Linked DNA regions of Oryzias latipes. Each later gene encodes a partner of the first gene's protein in a complex. Links are inferred from orthologs where the notes say so. Each region holds a gene or a part of one and is shown in the gene's direction. Other genes may lie near its edges. The genes, in order: mta1 and cdk2ap1.

The links.
Region 2: mta1 (region 1) and cdk2ap1 share a complex: the UniProt entries of both Homo sapiens proteins name them as parts of the nucleosome remodeling and deacetylase (NuRD) repressor complex. The link is inferred for Oryzias latipes from reciprocal best matches to the Homo sapiens genes MTA1 and CDK2AP1.

Annotation. Positions count from the first base shown.
Region 1 is NC_019880.2:4,694,869-4,699,162, reverse strand, and holds the start of mta1 (metastasis-associated protein MTA1), read left to right. Parts: upstream 1-1,477; 5' UTR 1,478-1,496; intron 1,497-1,611; exon of another isoform or gene 1,612-1,640; 5' UTR 1,641-1,713; coding exon 1,714-1,741; intron 1,742-4,294. UniProt on the Homo sapiens protein: Transcriptional coregulator which can act as both a transcriptional corepressor and coactivator. Acts as a component of the histone deacetylase NuRD complex which participates in the remodeling of chromatin.
Region 2 is NC_019870.2:2,597,084-2,601,494, forward strand, and holds the start of cdk2ap1 (cyclin-dependent kinase 2-associated protein 1), read left to right. Parts: upstream 1-1,589; 5' UTR 1,590-1,767; coding exon 1,768-1,834; intron 1,835-3,774; coding exon 3,775-3,875; intron 3,876-4,411. UniProt on the Homo sapiens protein: Inhibitor of cyclin-dependent kinase CDK2. Also acts as a component of the histone deacetylase NuRD complex which participates in the remodeling of chromatin.

The DNA of each region.
Region 1 (4,294 bases):
AACTTTCTAGAGCTTGAGTTATAGCTTTATCCCGATAAAAGACTTTATAGGCCCCTCTTGAGAGTTGTACTATAATGTATTTTAAAATGACTCTAATTTAACTTAAATGACACAGTGTGGCAAACATCTAAATGCTTGTGCACATCCATTTTGTAGAAAAAAAACACACACCCTCAGTGCTCTTTGTCATAAAAGAGCGCCAGGATATAATCCAGGATCCCTCCCAAGCAGCTCAACGCGGAGACTGCACACATAAGTAGGAGTGCATGAGGCACGCACAGCTGATTGGCCTGATCCACTCATGTGATCACAAGCAGAGTCCCCCGTGTTAGGCCATGGTAATTGAAGCTTCCATATGGTATAGATCAGATGTTGCCTTCACCACAGCATTCCTGCAGCACAGTGACTTCCTTTTTGCATCCACACTGAAAACTGGGCTAATTTGGACAACTGTTTGGCATAACACCCACTCATGTAACGTCAAATAAATGAAATTCAATTTGCTAAATGACAAAACAAATTACATGTTTATGGTTTATACATTGGAGGATTTATTGATGATCTATTGTCTAATTTTTTCTTGCGTGGCAGGTGTGACGCTCTTTGCCAAAGTATACAAGAAAACGAACTTTAGCAGGAAACAGAAAAATTATGAAAAGCGTTCACTATTTTCTTACAGTTCTTTATATTACAAAGATATGAGCCATTATATAATGAATATATTACTATATTAAATTAGGGTGAAATATTTCATATTTTAAAGTAAAAATTGGATTAAAATTAAACATTTTAGCATAATATTAATCATGTTTATCCAATCACCAATTGGCTACTATTTAAATCTAAAGTCTGTAAAGTTATGCCATATTTAAACAACAATTTCTCCAATTTATCATTTTCTGTTGCTTCTGAAAATGTTACTTCTATGGAACTTATTTTTGTTTATAAAAATAATCCCTGAGTTAATTTTAAAAAGTGTGAAAAATTACTAGTTTTACTCTATTTTGGTTGCACGTGCAGTTAGTTAAACACTACGGCAACTCTTTAGGGATACTTTTAAAACAAATAAAAAAGATGATTGAGAAGGAGATTCTTAATTTGACAATTATTTCAGAGTTATTATTTATAATCAAAACTCCTATAACTACATAATATATAGGGAAACAGCAAATAAGTACATTTATTTACATAAGCACAGGTGATGTTCGCATTTCTATATCCAAGAACTTTTGTTTTTTATTTTAAAGTATCGCGATAGTTTAAGTTCTATGCCGCAAATAACTGAGGCAATGTTGGGATTTTCAAATAATAGTCGAATTATCTTTCTTGACAAGCAAAATTGTGATTTTAAACAAAAGTGTACATTCAATTGTCAAATTTGAAGTTGACATTTTCATAAAAACGACTTACATAGACGCGTTTAAGGAAGATTACGTCACTTTCTCGTTGTATAAATTACACGTTTTGGGAAATATGTCATGTGTCGCTACTTAAAGGTAATATTTGTTGAAATTGTGAGTTCACTTATCCACGTCCGGGTGCCCAAATTTTGAGGTTTCGAAAAAGAGGTGTACTGTCTCTTTAAGACGTCTCTGGCAGTCTGTTTCGTATTGATCAATCCACCATTTTCCAACACACAGCAGCTCCGGCAGCGCCACAGAGAAGAGAGCCACCCCTCTACCTGGAGAGGAAGCCAGGGACCGGGGCGCAGTCATGGCAGCGAACATGTACCGGGTTGGAGGTAAGCGCACACGGGTTCGGCTCTTTGGAACACCCCCGTCTTCGTTATTTTATGGCGGGCTCGCCATTATTCACAGAGCGAGATCTTTTATTTCCCAAAAAGCTAAAGAGCTTTGTGCCTCCACAGATGAGGATGGTGTGAAGAGGAGGATGGTGATGAAGAGTAGTAGATCTTTTTTTTTTTCTAATCACGAAATGTTGGTAGCTTCTTTTGTGCCTGTGTTTTGTTGCTCAGCGTGGAGCCAAACAACTCCTTCAGTGTGGGGATGCGCACTTTAGTGAAATGCTTTAGGTTCTCTCCTGTTTGAAGGTATCATGGCGAACATTTTCCCCAAAGTTTTGCGTGCGTTTAAACTGCTTTCTGCTCGGAGTAGCAGCCAGGAGGACTTCACTGACTGACCAACGGAGACAGGTAAAGCATCCATGAGCTGAAGGAGAAGGAGGCTGCTGGGACAAAAAGTTCAATTCTACCAAAAACATTTGGGGAACACCAAACTGGCAACTTTAGTGATGGTTTTCATGCCCATCCATCGCTAAGCTATTTTATTTCCATAATAATTTAAAAATATTTTTAAACAGGCAATTGATTAAAGTACCTAATTAAGATTCCCCACCCACTCGTTCTCTGCCTGTGTTCAGATTCAAATCCTACAGGGGAAAAAAACACGTGAAAGTTCACATAACAAAGTCTAATAATGTCATTATAAATTATTGTAAATATATTAGCCCTCTTGTTGTGGTTTAAATGTTTAAAAATACCCTTTAAAATGTTACAAATGTCTTGTTTTGTGTGTTAAAGGTTTAAACAAGCAAAAAACAACAACAGGTTTTTGGTTTAATTTTAGAAATTAGGAAGTGTTTTTTGGGATTTAAATAAATTTTTTTTTCTATTATTGTAACATAAGCTATCTTGACAACAGTGGTCATTATAGAATAATCCACACAAAGATGCTTTTCTAGTTATTAATTTAATAATGTGTGTTTATGTTTTTAAAATGTATCAAAAACTTGTAGACTGGTGTAAAAATGATATGTGAACTAACTGAAAAAACCATTAATTTGAAACATTTTGATACCATAATATTTATCTCGATGGTACACATTTCTCTGTGTTAGGACTTCATAAAAAAGTTTTGTAAAGATACATATAATGATGCTCAAAATTAATTTAAATCTTATTTTTAATGTTTTTCTTTCACCCCTAAATCCAGTTTGAATTAGATCTTCTTCTTTAAATGTATTGGCATTGAAATAACACCTGAATTTGTCGGATTTTTGCATTACTTACCCTCCTAAACGTTCATCAAAACAAACACTGACTGAATTAGTTCACAACTAGAACGTAAATATAGTGTTGAGTGGGCGATTTTTCTGCGAGTAATTTAGATGGGGTGCTGTGTGGGTTTTTGAACAATTGACGTTCTTTGGCTTGGATGAAGTTGTCATTTGTCTCGAGATGTGTCATCGTATCCCCGAAGAGCTGGCAGCAGGTGCAGCAATTTACAGCTGAGTTTATTTATCTAATCTATGTATTGATATTCTTTGGTCATAACCGCTTGTACAGGCTGAGTAACCACATTTTGTAGTACATCTAACCAGTGTGTGCACGTCTGGGAAAGAGGAACGATGATGAAGAAGAATTACCTTCACTTTATGGATCTATTTGCTTGTTCTGACCAAAAAATCGTCCCATCAAATGTAGGAGTTAGATGGACTTCTATGGATCAGCTATAGTCAAATTAAACCAGATCTACCTGACTGGCAACAGGATTATGCCCAGATCAGGGTAGAAGGTTAACCCTCCCTCTGCCAAAGTGTTGCCTAATTTGGTCCAAACCTTCATCGTCATTCTCTAGAGGAGAATCCATCAGCAGGGCTTAAATTCCTCATCTGAGCAAATTGTAATTAACTGTGCAGATGTATTATTTATTTATTGCCTTAATGCACTGAGCTTGTATTGGGTTGCCTCTGTTTTGTTGCACCGCAGCTCAGGAAATGTAATTAAATTTATCAATCAGGGTCTAAGCTGTTTACACAAACTCCCTAATTTGTCATTTTGGAAAAAGAAAAATCCATTTAGCTTCTTATAAAATACTTGAAAACATCTTAGGATTATGAAACTTACCCAATTTAATCAAAAATCATTAAACATAAGTCATAAAAATAGGACGTCTTAATTAATAACTGATAGGAGTAATCTAGACTTAGCCAATAATAAACCCTGCCTCTCCTGAAACCGGTTCCAGGTCATCATCAGAAGAAAGCAGAGCCTTAAAGAGTTGCCTTCAACTTTGCAAGACAATGCTGCTGAACCATCTTAGGAAGGACTTCCTTTGAAAAAGACTTGGACAAAAGCAGGCTCCTCTGGCCTTCATGTCTTTGTTTTGCACAGCGCAGGCCACAAGCCACTCATCCGGTGCACACAGCGGTTTTTCCTCAATGCTTCGCACCAGAGAAAGTGTTAATTACCAAAGATGGGCTGTGTGTAAAGCATAGAAGCAAACACAGCTTCTGCTTATTGAACTAGAGTTCAGGAGACATAATTTATTCGTGC
Region 2 (4,411 bases), on another chromosome or scaffold:
ACCTCAACCTGTGGATGAGCAACCTCTGCTTTACTGACGTCTGGATTATTTGTACATTTTGAAGTCGTCTGTTGGAACTTGAATGTGCACCTTGGTGGACAGCGGCACGGATGGCGGAGCGTTGAGGGTCTCGCTGTGTTCAACGGGAACAGCGCCGCTGCTCGCCATGCACTACTGACGGGACGTGTATATGAACGAGTGCAATGCTCAATAAAGCTCCATTTACGTCTAGCTTTGGTGCTTCAGTGAAGCTGCTGTTTGTCAAGAAAAAGTCGATGTTTAGACGACTTCAGTTAAATTTCTGTGAGCAAAACTGGAAGAAATCTAAAAGAAAAATGTTTGATTTTTTTTTTGATTTTCTGTCACTGTTTTTATTTTAGCAATGAGATTTTGTAAAAACTCATTATTTTGTGCTCTAATTTAATTGATTTATCTAAAATTATTACATAAAATACACTAAAAGGCTGGGAAGTAAAAGTAGATTTAAACAATGTGATGTTGGATATAAAGCGGTATTTAAATTTGAAATTATTTTTGACATCTGACACAAACTTTCAGTAAATTTAAGGCTTATTTTTATCCTAAATGAAGATATTTGACCTAAATTAGGTTAAACTTAAGTTACAGAATAAACTTAAGACAAACACAATGTTAATCACTAAAAATAAAATATTTTTTAAAGATTTCTTTAAAAATAAAATATTTTTTAAAGATTTCTTTTTTATTTGAGCAATGAATAAGAATTAACCTGAGGAAATGTACTTATTTTAAAGTATTTTTGTTTACTTTTACATTGTAAAAAAAAAAAAAATTGACCAAAATTTGGTTACTAAAATATGTAAAAGAAAAAAATAAAATGCAAAATATCAAAAACTCTAATTTTATATAGGTTTTAATGTAATTTTTAAATAAATTAGAAATTAAATATTTTTCCAAGCTTTTATTCATTTGTGCAATAAATTTAAATATTTCAAGTAAACTTTCAAAACATTTTAAAATCTTACTTTTATTCACTTTAACATCATACGAAACATAAAATTTGTCTTAAATAGTGATATTTAAAAAAACATGAAAAGGATGATGGGAAATGTTTAATTTTTTTTAATATTTCCCAGCAAGTTAACATTGGATTATTTAACAGATGATTAAAATAAAAGTCAAAAACTACATTTTTTTTTTTCTTCTGGAAACATTTCTGAATGGCGAAGATGTGGGGGACCCAGCCGGTACCGGGGGGCCACCATGTGGGCAGCGGGGCCTGATGGGATATAAAGACTGGTGTGGGTTCTGGGGGGGAGGGGGTTCTGGTTCCCCAGACCAAAGCAGGTACCAGTCCCCCTTATTTCCCTGCAAGCAATTCCAAACCCGCGCGTGCACCAAACGCGTGGTGGATTTATTTAAGTTCATTCATCAAAACTTCCAAAAAAAAAAAGTGTAAAACAAAAACTAAGAAGGTTTGAGTTTAAAACCTTCAAGTGGTTTTAATCTTGAAACCTTAAAAAAAAAAAAAATATTTTTTTTTTTTTTTGGAGCAAACTTTGGGTTAAATGTCACATAAGCGCGCGCGCGACGCCGCGCGCGTGCGCTAGATGTGTAAAAAGATGTTTAAAAAGTGGTTTTGTGCCGCGCGGATGGCAGCGGCTCTGGAAACCCAGTGGGTGTCAATATAAAGTGACGGCCATATTTGCCGGTGCCGCTGTTGTAAACAAAAAGTGAGAGACAGACGCTTCACTGAATTTCGGGTCATTTTTATTTCTTTAATTTACAATGTCTTTGGGAATGTCTTACAAACCCAACGTCCATCAGCACATTCCGGGAACTTCAGGGAACCAGGGTAAGAGCAAAACGGCGGTCAAAAGCCAACTACCCGCCCGCTACATCGAGCGTTAAATTCGGGGTCTCGGAGAATACCTGGAGAAAGACTGTGTCTGTAGTTTTTGTCCAGTTATATATATAGGGTCAGATCCTGGGAGCTAGGCTAATTCATATCCGCCATTATTACTAATGTAAAAGGGCGCCATCCGCGGGTCGAGTCGGCGCGGAAACACGGCGGGGATGAGAAACGAGCGCGCGGCGCTTCCGAAAACGGGGTTCCCCGCCGTCCGGGGTCGCGGTCCCGCCCGGCGGGTGCCGTTACACGGTGACAAAAATGTATCGGTTATGTCTTCTTGAGCCAGCCTTGTTCCGTTTCCTCCATGATGCTCCTCGGTCGGAGCTGCTCGATTGATCCGCCTCGGAGGAGTTTCTGCCTCTTCGAGGACACCTGCCGGTCGGGGCCGATACTGCAGGCGCAGGAGGCAGGCTGGAGTTCATGGAGCCAAAAAACAACAAAGAAAACCTTTAATTTAGTGATACATCGTGGAAAATACTGAATTGTTTTCATTATTTTTTTCATTTAACAATTTCACACCTATTAATTAGTATTCAGATTTTTTAATGACTAATTCACTCTTATTTAGCAACAACTTAATTTTATTTCCTGATTTTAGAGTCAGAATGATGCACTTTTCATACTATTGTATTGATATATACAGTAATGCATGAACCAGTGACAATATCTGTAATTATTCATTCGTCTTTTGTCTTCACATTCTAAATCCATAAACATTATCAAACATTACATGATCAGTGTGTCCTGCAGCAGTCTGGGACACACTTTTGTGGTTTGAAATCTGGCGATTTCCTTATTTTCCCTCAAAATGGGAAAATAAACTTTTAGCTCAAGCGATCCTCACCAGGTTTCCCTGCTAGCTTCAGTCTACAACCAAAGTTTCGTTGACCTTTGAAGGGGCTTAAATAAAAATAAAAAATCGCCGTCTACAAATTTAAAGTCCTCCTGGGGATTTTGATCTATCGTTACTCATCATTTTGAACCTACATGGGGGGAAAAATGTTGGTTTTTAAAGTTTAAAGATTTGGAACGGTGTTGGCGGGGCGAGCTCGCAAAACTGGCGTTCCCCTGTTGGTCGCGCATTTCTTACCAGAATATTGTGGAAATTGAATACATTAATTCCTTGCGTCAAGCTGAATGAAACAATATGATATACAATAAAACCACATTAGGAATGGGGGCGTGGTTAATGATAAACCTCCGTTGCCAAGGAAATCCAAAAGTTTACTTTTGCCAATTTTTCTACAAATTACATCGACGGATTCGCCACCCCCAGGGGACCAAAAAAGGAAATGGTTGCTATGGAGATAAAACCAGCATGAAAGCCGCCATTTTTAAAATAGTTTGTCTTCATTAATGAGTTGAGCTTCATTTTAAAGACGGATGGTGTGGAGGTCATGTGGTCAAGTCTTTTGCATTTATCAGAGCCTAAAAGTTAAAAATAATCATAAAAATTCATCTGTGATCATTTTTTGGATGTCCGTACTTTCTAAAATGACTAGCGGATGTTTTTTTTTTCTCTCATTTTACCAAGTAAACCAAAGTTTCTGTTTCTACAAAGGTAATATTTCTCTAAAATCCTCATCCATCGTCAGCAAATGCAGGGACGGCTTTCAGCCTCGCTGTTCCGTAAACGGCTTTTTGGGGTTTTGACGCACACGTGTGAGGAAACCAAACTACAGATGTGTGTTTATGATTCTGCTGCGTTTAGGACTAAAATAATTCAAATCAAACAAAATATTTGATAGAAAGCTCTGAATCGGTTGTTTTTGTGTCACCAATGTCAGACAAACGGGCTCCATGTTTGGTATATTTTAGCAGTGAAAGAACAGAAGTACAGTCTTCTTGTATCATCTTTCATGATGCGGATGTTTTGCCTGCAGTTGGGAACCTTCAGTCGGCCTCGGCGGCTAACCTGGCCACGTTGCAGTCCTACAGACCCCTGCTGAGCGACTACGGACCTCCATCTCTGGGATTCTCACAGGTGAGCTCCGCCTTTAGACGCCGCAGAAACATCTTCTTCTTCCCAACCCTCGTCAGAGGTGTGGCGAGTCTTTCAGGGTTTCTGTTGGCGCTCGTGGAAACGCGGTGGCGGCGGCTCTACCGCTGACTGTACCTGAGACCTGGGCTGAGTGTGACCACATCCATCGACAATGGTTCAATTCTCCATTTTTTATTTTTTTGTAGTGAGTCCTTGTTTCTGTGGCAACCACCCTCACCAATCAGGGGTGGAGCTTATCCGAAGGCCACACCCCTACCACCTGAAAACCTGTCAATCGTTTTGGACATAGGGGCCGCCAGGCTCCACCTACTTTAGTTGAGGCCTCAATAATAAAAAGCAGATGTTAAAGCGCAGAAAACACCTGTTTCCGCACGTGTTTCACGCTGGTTTCCGTTAAGCTAACGTCCTTGTCTGATGAAGAACGGTTCTGCGTCTGGATCTTTGACAAACCGCTGGTTTCCACTTGTTTTCTCCTGGCCAATATTCAAACGGTACCATTAAAGTTTGAAAGTTGGTAA